3 linked regions of the Rattus norvegicus genome follow. The protein of the gene in region 1 purifies or fractionates together with the protein of each later gene. This does not show direct contact. Links are inferred from orthologs where the notes say so. Each region holds a gene or a part of one and is shown in the gene's direction. Other genes may lie near its edges. The genes, in order: Stk38l, Mob2 and Cdc37.

The links.
Region 2: the proteins of Stk38l (region 1) and Mob2 purify together in Homo sapiens (affinity purification with mass spectrometry; 9 studies listed by BioGRID and IntAct, counting the BioPlex papers as one, with this or other methods). This does not show direct contact. The link is inferred for Rattus norvegicus from reciprocal best matches to the Homo sapiens genes STK38L and MOB2.
Region 3: the proteins of Stk38l (region 1) and Cdc37 purify together in Homo sapiens (affinity purification with mass spectrometry; 3 studies listed by BioGRID and IntAct, with this or other methods). This does not show direct contact. The link is inferred for Rattus norvegicus from reciprocal best matches to the Homo sapiens genes STK38L and CDC37.

The regions. Positions count from the first base shown.
Region 1 is NC_086022.1:181,416,878-181,419,624, forward strand, and holds part of Stk38l (serine/threonine-protein kinase 38-like), read left to right. Parts: intron 1-186; coding exon 187-310; intron 311-1,387; coding exon 1,388-1,483; intron 1,484-2,747. UniProt on the Homo sapiens protein: Involved in the regulation of structural processes in differentiating and mature neuronal cells.
Region 2 is NC_086019.1:206,576,640-206,581,055, reverse strand, and holds the start of Mob2 (MOB kinase activator 2), read left to right. Parts: upstream 1-1,606; 5' UTR 1,607-1,648; coding exon 1,649-1,665; intron 1,666-2,106; exon of another isoform or gene 2,107-2,513; intron 2,514-4,416. UniProt on the Homo sapiens protein: Stimulates the autophosphorylation and kinase activity of STK38 and STK38L.
Region 3 is NC_086026.1:27,953,649-27,956,936, reverse strand, and holds the end of Cdc37 (hsp90 co-chaperone Cdc37), read left to right. Parts: intron 1-128; coding exon 129-311; intron 312-437; coding exon 438-509; intron 510-2,110; coding exon 2,111-2,266; 3' UTR 2,267-2,643; downstream 2,644-3,288. UniProt on the Homo sapiens protein: Co-chaperone that binds to numerous kinases and promotes their interaction with the Hsp90 complex, resulting in stabilization and promotion of their activity. Inhibits HSP90AA1 ATPase activity.

The DNA.
Region 1 (2,747 bases):
CTTGGCTTCCTTTATCAGGTTGGAAATGCAGGGCTCAGATAAAATGGAGTGGGTTTTATCCCTGTGGACCTCCTGAGTAACTGTATGGTGAGCTGGCGCATGAGTGCTGTTTCCTTTCTTGTGGCACATACTGTGGTCTGCTTGAATTGTCCCAGCGCTGATAAATTGTTGATCTCTGGTGCCCAGGCTTTCCACCTTTCTGCTCCGAGACACCTCAAGAAACGTACAGGAAAGTTATGAGCTGGAAGGAGACGCTGGCATTTCCTCCAGAGGTGCCCGTCTCTGAGAAAGCCAAGGACTTGATTCTCAGGTCAGTGGCTCTTAAACCTTGACAAGTGCATGAATGGTCAGGGTCTCTGAGGCAGGGAAAGTCTTGGGAGGAAAAATACCACTGATTCGATTAGTCAGGGAGGTCAGTATAAAGAAAGGTTTTTACAAAATTTGATCTTTAAAAAAGATTTTATTTATTTTTACTTGTGTGTGTGTGGGTACCACTTGCCCATGGAGGCTAGAAGACCCCTTGGAGCTGGAGTTACAGACAGTTGTGAGCCACCCTAAGTGTTCTCGACTGCTGATTTCCCCAGACTCGCAAAAGGCAAACACTTTAAAGACTTGTAGGAAAACGGTGTTCAGAAGAGAGAGAGGAGATCTTGTTGGATATCCTGGTAATAGGATCAGCAAAGTGTCACTTACTCATGTTCAACTACAAGGACTCAGTACGTCAGATAGGAAAGGAGAGTAAATGTGTCAGAAGCTCTTGCCATAGAGTGCACAGGAACTCAGGCAGAAGACTGCCTCACCAGTGCTGGAGGAGCGTGAATTGAGACGACCCTTGAGAGCAGACAGCTGGCAGCATGCTGTATAAAATCGTTAAGCTGTACATGACCTTTGACCTAGCAGTTTCATTTCAAGGAATTTAATTGGACATTTAACTGTGTAGGGGTAAAGAGTTAGGTATGTTTCTTATTTATTTTAGTTGTGAAAAATTGAAACTTATAGAAGTCTTCAGTGGTAGCAGTGGATGGATCAATCTGATATCTCTGTATAAAGTTACTTCACGGGAAAATACTGAGCAGCATTACAAAATTTTCTAGTATAATCAATGAAGAAAAAGTCTTAAAGTAACGGTTATTGTGTTAATACAATATTTTACATTTTATTATTGTATTAATTTTGTTATTACATTAATATTATAAGATGAAAAGTAGCTACAGAATGTTTACTGGTTATCTCTAAAGGATAGGTTTATGGGTAACTTGTATTTTCTCTGTATTTCCCATAGTAGCTTCAATATCTAAATTGAAACGCTTTATAAAAACATTCGAAGTAATAACTACTAGAGTGTTTGAGATGAAAAATGTGCCTGATAATTGGTTTTCCTTTCTAGATTTTGTACTGATTCTGAAAACAGAATTGGGAATGGTGGTGTGGAAGAGATCAAAGGTCATCCGTTCTTTGAGGGTGTGGACTGGGGGCACATAAGGTATGTTCTGCAGCCTGAGCTGACAAACACCAGCTTCTGGATTTGGTGGTTACTGCACTTCTGTTCCTTCTAGACTCATGATTCTCAACCTGTTGGTTGCAACCCCTCTGTGAATTAAATGACCCTTTCACAGTGGTCACCTAAGACCATCGTAAAACGCAGATATTTCCATTATGATTCCTAACAGTAGCAAAATTACAGTTACAAAGTAGCAACAAAAATAATTTTATGGATGGGGTCACCACCACATGAGAAACTGTACTAAAGGTCACAGCACTGGGAAGGTTGAGAACCCCTGAGACTGAGCACGAGAGGCAGTGCCGCTGCTTCTGAGAAGTCACTGCCTCTGCAGCTGCTCAGTGTCTTCCCTGGAGGTCACACTGCGTGTCTAGTACTTCCCACTGTGTGCCAGTACATTCATGAGACTGTCCTGTAAACGCTCATCTTCTCCTGGCACTGCTGTCAGTGTCTTGCCCACGGGGACAAGCTAGAGTTTCTAGACACAGCACAGTGACTATGGAAGCAGTCGCACAGCAGAGCAGAGCCTAAACTCACTGTGGCAGGGCAGGAAGTCCAGACCTGCCGCTCACTCGCTGTCCCCTCACCTGGGGCTGTGCACAAGCATGGCCGGCACAGGCTTCTCATGACTTGCACCTCAGCACCCAATAGATCCTTTAGATGTTTGCTGAAAAACTGAAATGCCTGCCTCAGGGCTGGAGAGGGCCTCAGAGGTTAAGAGCACTGGCTGCTCTTCCAGAGGTCCTGAGTTCAATTCCCAGCAACCACATGGTGGCTCACAACCATCTGTGATGGGATCTGGTGTCCCCTTCTGGTGTGTAGGATACATGTAGGCAGAACACTCTCTACAGAGTAAATAAATGTTTTTTTTTGTTTGTTTAAAGAAATATTAAAATAAAATTTAAAAAGGCTGATAAGGTGCCGTTATCTGAAAAGACAGATAATCTGAGTTCAGTTCCTGGGTCCCTCAAGGTAGAAGAAGAGAATCAACTCCTGAATGTGGTCCTCTGACCTCTACACTTGTGATATGGTGTGTGTTGTGTGTTGTGGGGTGTGTGTGTGTCTATACACTTAATAAATAAGTAAATAAATATAATTTAAAAGGTTTTTTGTTTTGTTTTTGAGGAGTTGTTGTTGGCTTTTGGTTTCATTTTTATTGTTGTTTGGGTTTCACTGTGTAGCCCAGGCTATCCTGGAACTCATTCTGCAGACCAGGCTAGCCTCAAACTCAAAGATCTGCCTGCTT
Region 2 (4,416 bases), on another chromosome or scaffold:
CTAGCACCTCATGTGACACCCAATCTAGGGCAACACCTGATGGCAGATGGTGCCAGTCAAAATCAGACTGGCTCGCCAAAGATGGATGCTCCTTGGAAGCAGTGGACAAGGCTACATTGCAAGGCAACCAGCTGATGGTTGACTAAAACAAAGTGGTTATGGGGTGGGGGAGTCATCCAGTATGACTATGGGCATCCATGGGAATAGAAATGGAGGAGAGCACAGACCTGATTTTCTCCTCCCAATATATCTTGATTTGGTGACTTTTCCCTCCCCAGGTCTTTCATTATTCAGTTTCACCTCAAGTTATTTTTTTTTGTTTTTTGTTTTTGTTTTTGTAATAAAACTGTCACCTCACCTCTCCGGGTGCATGGCAGTTCATGCTATAAAGAAGGAATGGACTGGACATTTCCCATTATCCTGGAATGGTTCTTTTGGGAAGGGTGAACCCCATTTCAAGTATATGACAACTTCAAGTATATTACAGCAGGCAGATGTCCTGAAGATGTTATCTGTCTGGTGCCTGCTATTCATGACACCCCACTGAAGACACAAATCAGTTAGGTTGCTGTGATTCCTCTGCTCAAATGTGTGCTCCTGGAAGCATATCTCCAGTGAAGAGAATGGAGAGTCAGCCTTTCAAAAGTATTCAATGAGTTCCTAGTATTGGTCAGGCTCTGGAAAGAGCAGACAATAGGATAGATACCCTGGATCATGAAGAGAGAGAAGTACTCACTGGAGAGAAGTACCCTAGATAACAGAGGGTCACCCAGGAGCTAGAGAGTACAGCTTATAGAGAAAGGGAACAGAAGGGGGCTCAACCATGTCCACAGCAGTGGGCAGCTGGGATGCAAATGAACAGCCAGCAAAGGGAGGAGGACTCAGAAGAGGCAGTGTGTTAAGAAGAATCCTGGTAGAGGCACTAGGTGTGGGCAAAAGATGACAACAGGTTTAAGGTGGACAACATGAGGGATGTAAACAAGAGGAGAGACAATGCAGAGAAAGAGTGCATCCTGCTGGTCAGAGACACTCCGATGTTCCAGCCTGGGGGTTCTGGGTATTCCCAGATCCGGGATATAGAGTTGGGGCCACTCTTGGTTCCAGGCACTTCTGAGTCTGGGTAATCCCAGGTCTGGGATACTGGGGTCAGGGATACTCAGGTACTAGGAACTTCAGACTCCCACGGAGCTGGCATTCCGCAGATTCAGGCACTCTGGGGGTAAGGTTTACTCCTGGGGTTAGGGCACTCTGAAGTCCTGGCACTCGAGGTGTGAAACACTGGGGTGGGACACTCCAGGATCCAGGGCACTGTGTTATTACAGGCACTTTGCGAGTCCGAGGCACTCCGAAGTTCCCGGCGTCTGGGTTTCTGGGACGCTCTGAAGTTATTCTCACTCTGGGAATCCAGAAACTCCGGACAGTCTTCAGGTACAGGATGCTCCTGGGTCCCGGAGCCCCGAGGTTTGCAATAGGGCTAGGTCCTGGTACTCCAGGACAGGTACCGGGACATCGCCGCAGGGGCCGCTGGGACTACGCGTCCCAGCAAGCCGTGCGCGCGTCACTTCCGGCAGCGGGCGGGAGCCATCGAGTGTTTACTTCCGGCCGCCGGCGGGGCTGAGGCCGAGCGAGGCGCGGGCTCCGCGCAGCCATGGACTGGCTCATGGGGTGAGTGGCGGCGGCCGGCGTAGCGCGGCGCTGCGCGGGCGGCGGCTAACGTAGGGAGCGTAGGGCGGCGGGCGGCGGGTTCCAGGAGGGGCCGGGGCTCGGGAAGACAGCCAGCCGCTGCGGAGTACCGGGAGGCCGGGCAGGCGGGCGGGCGGGCGGCCGGCCGGCCGGCGGGAGCGAGGCCCGGTCCCCGAGGCGCTGTCCCGAGAGGCCGCAGTCCCTCGCCGCGGATTGACGGGCTGCGAGTCGGGCACCCGGTCTTCGCGGGGCCTGCGAAAGTTCTTCCGCCCAAGTGACTTTCTTCCAATTTACTTTTGAGGAGAGTGAGAGGCGGGCGCTCCTAGCCGCGCGCTCCCCCGCGTCTCGGTTCTCTACTCTGTGGCGGTGCCCGCGGCCCTGCTGTTGGGTCAGTATAATCCTACTTGGCCACAGAGATGCCGGCCTTCGGATTCGGGAGTGCGAGAGCTGCACGGGACTCTGGAGATGGAAGCCGGGGAAGGCGGAGGAAAGTGTAGTGGTGGTACTGTCAGGACGTCTGAGGCGATGGAGATGGGTTTTGACCTCCCAGTGCTGCAACCTAAGGAGAGGGCAGACTAAAGGAGCAGCCACAGGGATAAACAGGAGACTAAGGGTGGCTGGGAGCCACATAGTGCCACTTAGGGTGCTAAGTGTGAGTGACACAGGAGGACCAGGCGGAGGACCCATCTGATTTCTTCAAGAAGCAGCACTGTCACTGGCTCCTCTCTGCTTCCTAGCTGTGTGGTCCTCTCTAGACTTGCTTTAAAGGATTGCCTGTCAGATGGAAGCTGTGAAATCCGCAGAACAGGTTTACTGAAGGGTTAACTGAGGTAAGGGCCACACATGTTTTGCATATGGTAAGCTTGGCAGATGATATGTCCTGATCATTTACAAGGTCTCTGAAGTCCAGAGGTTTTAAGTGTAGGACACATATCTGTATCCAGCCTATTCCAAATCATTCTTCCTTTGTGCATTTGTGGAGAGGGCCAGCACTGACTATACTTGGCCTACCTGCAAATATGGTTTCAGTGCAAGAGAACTGGATCTGTCAGCTTGGTGACTGAAGAAACTGCCCACTGCTGTATGTGTAATTTTTACAGGCCCATGCCCATCAGTGGCAGGTGCTTCTTGCCTGGAGACTGACCAGAAGCTAGTCTTTAAACTGACTGAGGACTGTCTTTTGTGGACTGAATCATCATTGCAAATATGCAGATATTAACCATCGTCAGCCTTTGGAGGCCCTGGTTCTTGTGACCCTTGTCAAAGCCCTGGTAACAAGGAGCTCTGTGGGAAAGGGCAGCAGAACCCTTATCTCTCACTCTAAGATGGGGGTCATTCCAGGCCCTAGAGTATAGCTGAGAGATACTTCTGCTTCTGGGACCTTTGGAAAGGAGGAAATAATCTGATTCACCGTAAAAAATAGTTGTAGTTACAAAGGGCAGTAGAGATTTTTAAAGAGGGATCTGGCTGCAGGGTAATTAATTGTCTTTGTGTTTGTGTTCTTAAGTGTCACATGCTACATGTTGAATATTGGTAGTCATGAATTCTTTAAACAGTTCCTTGCCTAAAATTCTCTTTTGTTCAGTGATCAGGTGTAGTTCCTCCTTGGTATCTTTGGAAGATAAAGACAAGCTGCCCCAATATTCCTCATTCATCTTTCATAGTATTCTTATAAAAGTAGGACGAATGGAAGTTGCAGAGTGAGCCTTCAGAGACACCTCCCCTCCTCCCCACCAGATATACTCCACTTTGTCTTCTGATCCCCTGTGAAAGCTGGCAAGGTGGTCAGTAGGAAGTGAAGCCATTTTTTTACTTCAGAGTACCCACTGTTTGCTCAGGACTGAAACTTTATCTGCAGTTAACCATTTAAGTACTTTTTTGCCTGGAAGAATTGGATAAACATATCATCTTTTTCTTAATTCAGACCATTCAATATCAAGGAGGAGTTTGGAATGTAGTGCTCATGCTTCAAGGTTTGTTTGTTTGTTTGTTTGCTTGCTTATGTTACACTGAAGGTTCTGTTAACCTTCTTCATGTTGGGTGAACCCAGTGTGGCATGAGCCAGAAGAGAGGCCTACAAAGGTGTAAATGAAAAGCTGCACCTTACCCTTAGCTGGGTGAGGACCACGCTGGGGCTTTGAGCATCTCCTGCCTTATCTTCTGTGTTCCAGCTGCTCAGGAGGAAGGGAGGCCCTGCAGGGAAGCATGCTTGGGATAACCATAGCAGAGTTTGGCACGTTGGGACTTGGTGGTAAACCTGCTGGGACTTTTCTGGAGAATGTTGTAGGCGTGGCTCTTAGCCACCTCTTGTCCTGTAGGAGAAGCTTTGAGCTGGCTGTTAAACAGTGTATATAGTCAGACCGCCTTCATTCTTTATTAGAAAGTGTTACAACTTTTGCATAGTAGGTCTTTGTTCTGTTCTGGACAACCAAGAGCAGGGTAACATCCAAGGGGAAGCTGCTCAGAATTTGGAAGAGGGAACCTCAACATGCTGTGGGATACTTTAAGCAACACTTGAGTCTTTTCTGGGGCAAGCATTTAACCAGGAGGTCTGAGTGTAGTTTGAATTTTATCTAGCAGAAAGCACAATCCAGAAGCCCCTTGGAGTCAAAAGAATACATTTTCTCCTCTTCCCATTGATGATAGTGAATTGTCCTTTCTGCCTGGCCACCTTTACTAAACCTCTGCTCTCTCCAGTAGTCTCTCTCCAGCCTGCCACTGTGGCTCCCTTTC
Region 3 (3,288 bases), on another chromosome or scaffold:
AGCCTTGAGGTACCCATGGTGGAGTTCAGGAAAAGCTTCAGGGAGCCTCCAAGAGCTGCTGCAGGGGCCTCGCCCCCTAAGCACCTGGCTGTCAACCATGTAGTGAATACACCCGTCCTCTTCCACAGACTGCTGACCAGCAGTACATGGAGGGCTTCAAGTATGAACTGGAGGCCTTTAAGGAGCGTGTGCGGGGCCGCGCCAAGCTGCGAATAGAGAAGGCCATGAAGGAGTACGAGGAGGAGGAGCGCAAGAAGAGGCTAGGCCCTGGTGGCCTGGACCCTGTGGAGGTCTACGAATCTCTGCCTGAGGTGTGGCTCTCCAGGGCCCAGTAGGGAGGAGGGTGATGTGTGGGCATTGCTGCTCCTCTGCCCCGCCCCCCCTTAATTGCCCCCCATCCCAAGCCCAGGCCCTCACCCTGGCCTCTCTGTACCCAGGAGCTGCAGAAGTGCTTTGATGTGAAGGATGTACAGATGCTGCAAGACGCCATCAGCAAGATGGATCCTACTGTGAGTCCCCAGTCTCTGTAGCGGACAGCAGAGTAGGGAGTTCATCCCTGTCATCTCCAGAGACTAAGACAGGGTTGTAAGTTCAAGGCCAGGCTTAGTTGAGATGAGCCAGAGCAACTCAACGAAACTGTCTGAGAATGACAAGGACAGGGTGTCACTCAGTGGCAGCTATGTGTGTGGCTGTGGTTCTAAAAACGAAAGATAGTGTCCCTCCTGAGCCTCTCTAAGGAAAGGGAGGTCCAGCGCTCCAAAAGCAGCAGCATGAGGAGTGAAACTTGAGCTTCTCTTCTTTTCTTTTTGTCTTTCTTTTATTCTTCCTTTTTGGTGACTGGGAATATAACCCAACGCTTCAAGCTTAGCTGCTAAGCCACGTCTGTACCCCTCACTGGGGGATTCTAGGCAGGGCCTCTCATCACTGCCATGCATCCAACTCAGGTTTGAATTTTAACAAACTTGATTTGTTGCCAATTCTGTCACCAGCTTCTCCTTTAGCCACAGTAGTAGAGACTCTACGACCTCCCGTGGGAATGCACATCTGGAAGGGAGTCTGCAAAGCCCAGTGGGCAGCTCACCACTTAACCTTTATGGAGTGACCGTAATTGAAATGCTGTCCCTAAACTTTTTTTTGCATCACTTATGATTGATTTTCTGCTATAAACTCAGAGTCACTGTGACCAGACACTATATGGCAGACACTGTGTGGCCCTTAAGAAAAGTTTGCTGGGTAGGACAGGCTGCAGTGCAGAGCTGCACCCTGGTCTGCATGCAGGATGCTGTGTTCAGTCACCAGCAGAGACTAAACCCAGTAGAGGTGTACACACCTACAGGGATCGGAATGAGTTCAAGGTCATTGTCTACTAACATGGTGAGGCCTGGCATACAGTGAGGCCAGTCACCAAGCCCCAGATGAAGGCCTGAAGAGTCATTAAGAGCATGGGCTGCTCTTCCAACCCAGGTTCAATTCTAGGATCTGACACACACACACACACACACACACACACACACACACACACACACACACACACACATGCATACACTGGCAGCCAGAACACCAGTTTGCTTAAAATTTTTTTAATTTATTGCCCCCTTCCCTTCTTTTTTCTGAGATAGGATCTCACTTTGTAAACTAGGCTCACAGATAGACCTGCCTCTGTTCCCTGATACCCTCAGGATATCCTGATTGTTACTTTGGTGCTGGAATATAATCTCTGGGTCTCATGATTTGAGGGGATGTACTCAACTGCTGAACCAGAACTGTCACCACCCCTTGTGTGTGTGTGTGTGTGTGTGTGTGTGTGTGTGTGTGTGTGTGTGTTTTGAGACAGAGACTCATGTAGCCCAAGCTGACGATGACCTTGAACTCCTGACCCTCCTGCCTCTACTTCCTAAGTGGTGGGATCACAAGTGTGTACCACCATATCTGCTTCTCTGGTGCTGAAATGGAAGAGTCTCAGAACCTTAGGCGAGCTTCACTGCTGAATCACACACCAGTTCTTTAGACAGCTGAGGGTAGAAGGGGGCTGAGCAGCCTTGAAGGAGGCGTAGGGACTGTGGGGCACCATGGCGCTGGCACAGCCTCACCTGCTGTCCTTTCTCCACAGGATGCCAAGTATCACATGCAGCGTTGCATCGATTCTGGCCTCTGGGTCCCCAACTCCAAGTCTGGTGAGGCCAAGGAGGGGGAGGAGGCGGGCCCCGGGGACCCATTGCTGGAAGCCGTCCCCAAAGCGGGCAACGAGAAAGACATCAGTGCGTGACCCTTCTCCAGAAAAGGAAACCCAGCCACCATGTCCCTAGCTCCCGACTTCTTCACTTCTGCTGCTCCTCACGTCCTGGCCCATGGCCTGCCCCATGTCCCCTCTCCTCCGGCCTGTCCCCAGCACTCATCAGATTCTCTGCTTCGGGTTGAGGGGCTCTGCTGTCTGCAGCCCCCCCACCCCCATCAGCGTTATGCCAAAGTCCTGGGGGTCTGGGGAGGGGCAGCAGCTGCCAGGTTGGTCCACCGGGTTGGGGATACACATGTCCCCATCTGGGCAGGGTCTGTCCCTATGGGTCTATGGTCACTGTTTCTCTTCTGTCTAGCTTTCTGTCCTGCAACTGGCAACAATGTCCAATAAACAGTTCCAGGTGCTGGAAGCCACTGGCTCAGTGCTGTTTGAGGCAGAGGGTGAACCTAGGTGGGGAGAACCAGAGTGCTAACAGCCATGCCCTTGCCCTGTCCTTCACTGTTCAGAAGTCCTAGGCCTTCTGTGTCTCTCCAACTCCTTGTCTATCTCAGCCTCTCCCAGTTCTTTTCCTCCCTCAGCCCCAGCACTCCATGGAGACAAGAGGACAGATAGGAGTTTGAGGGTAGCCTAGGCTACATGAGAAATATGCAGCCTTTCACACTGGACTTTGCCACTGCTAGGGGAACATACTATTCTAAAATTTAATTTGTATGTGTGTGTGCGTGGATGCCCTTGTGTGTTTTCTGTGTACCTTTGGCTGTCTGAGAACACAATATATAGCCCAGGCTGGCCTCAAACTCAAAGATCTGCCTGCCTCTATGACCTGTCCTGAGTGTTGGGATCAAAAGCACTCCTGGCTTAAGATTTAATTTTTGTGTATGAGTATTCTATATGTGCATCTAGTACATGCAGAGGCTAGAGTCTTGTAGAATTGTAGTTACAGATGACTCTAAGTCCACCATGTGGCTCCCTGGAGTGAAATCGGTGTCCTCTGCAACACGGAGCCTTTTCTCCAGTCCTGAGGATTCTACTGTTGGAAAGAGTACCATGGG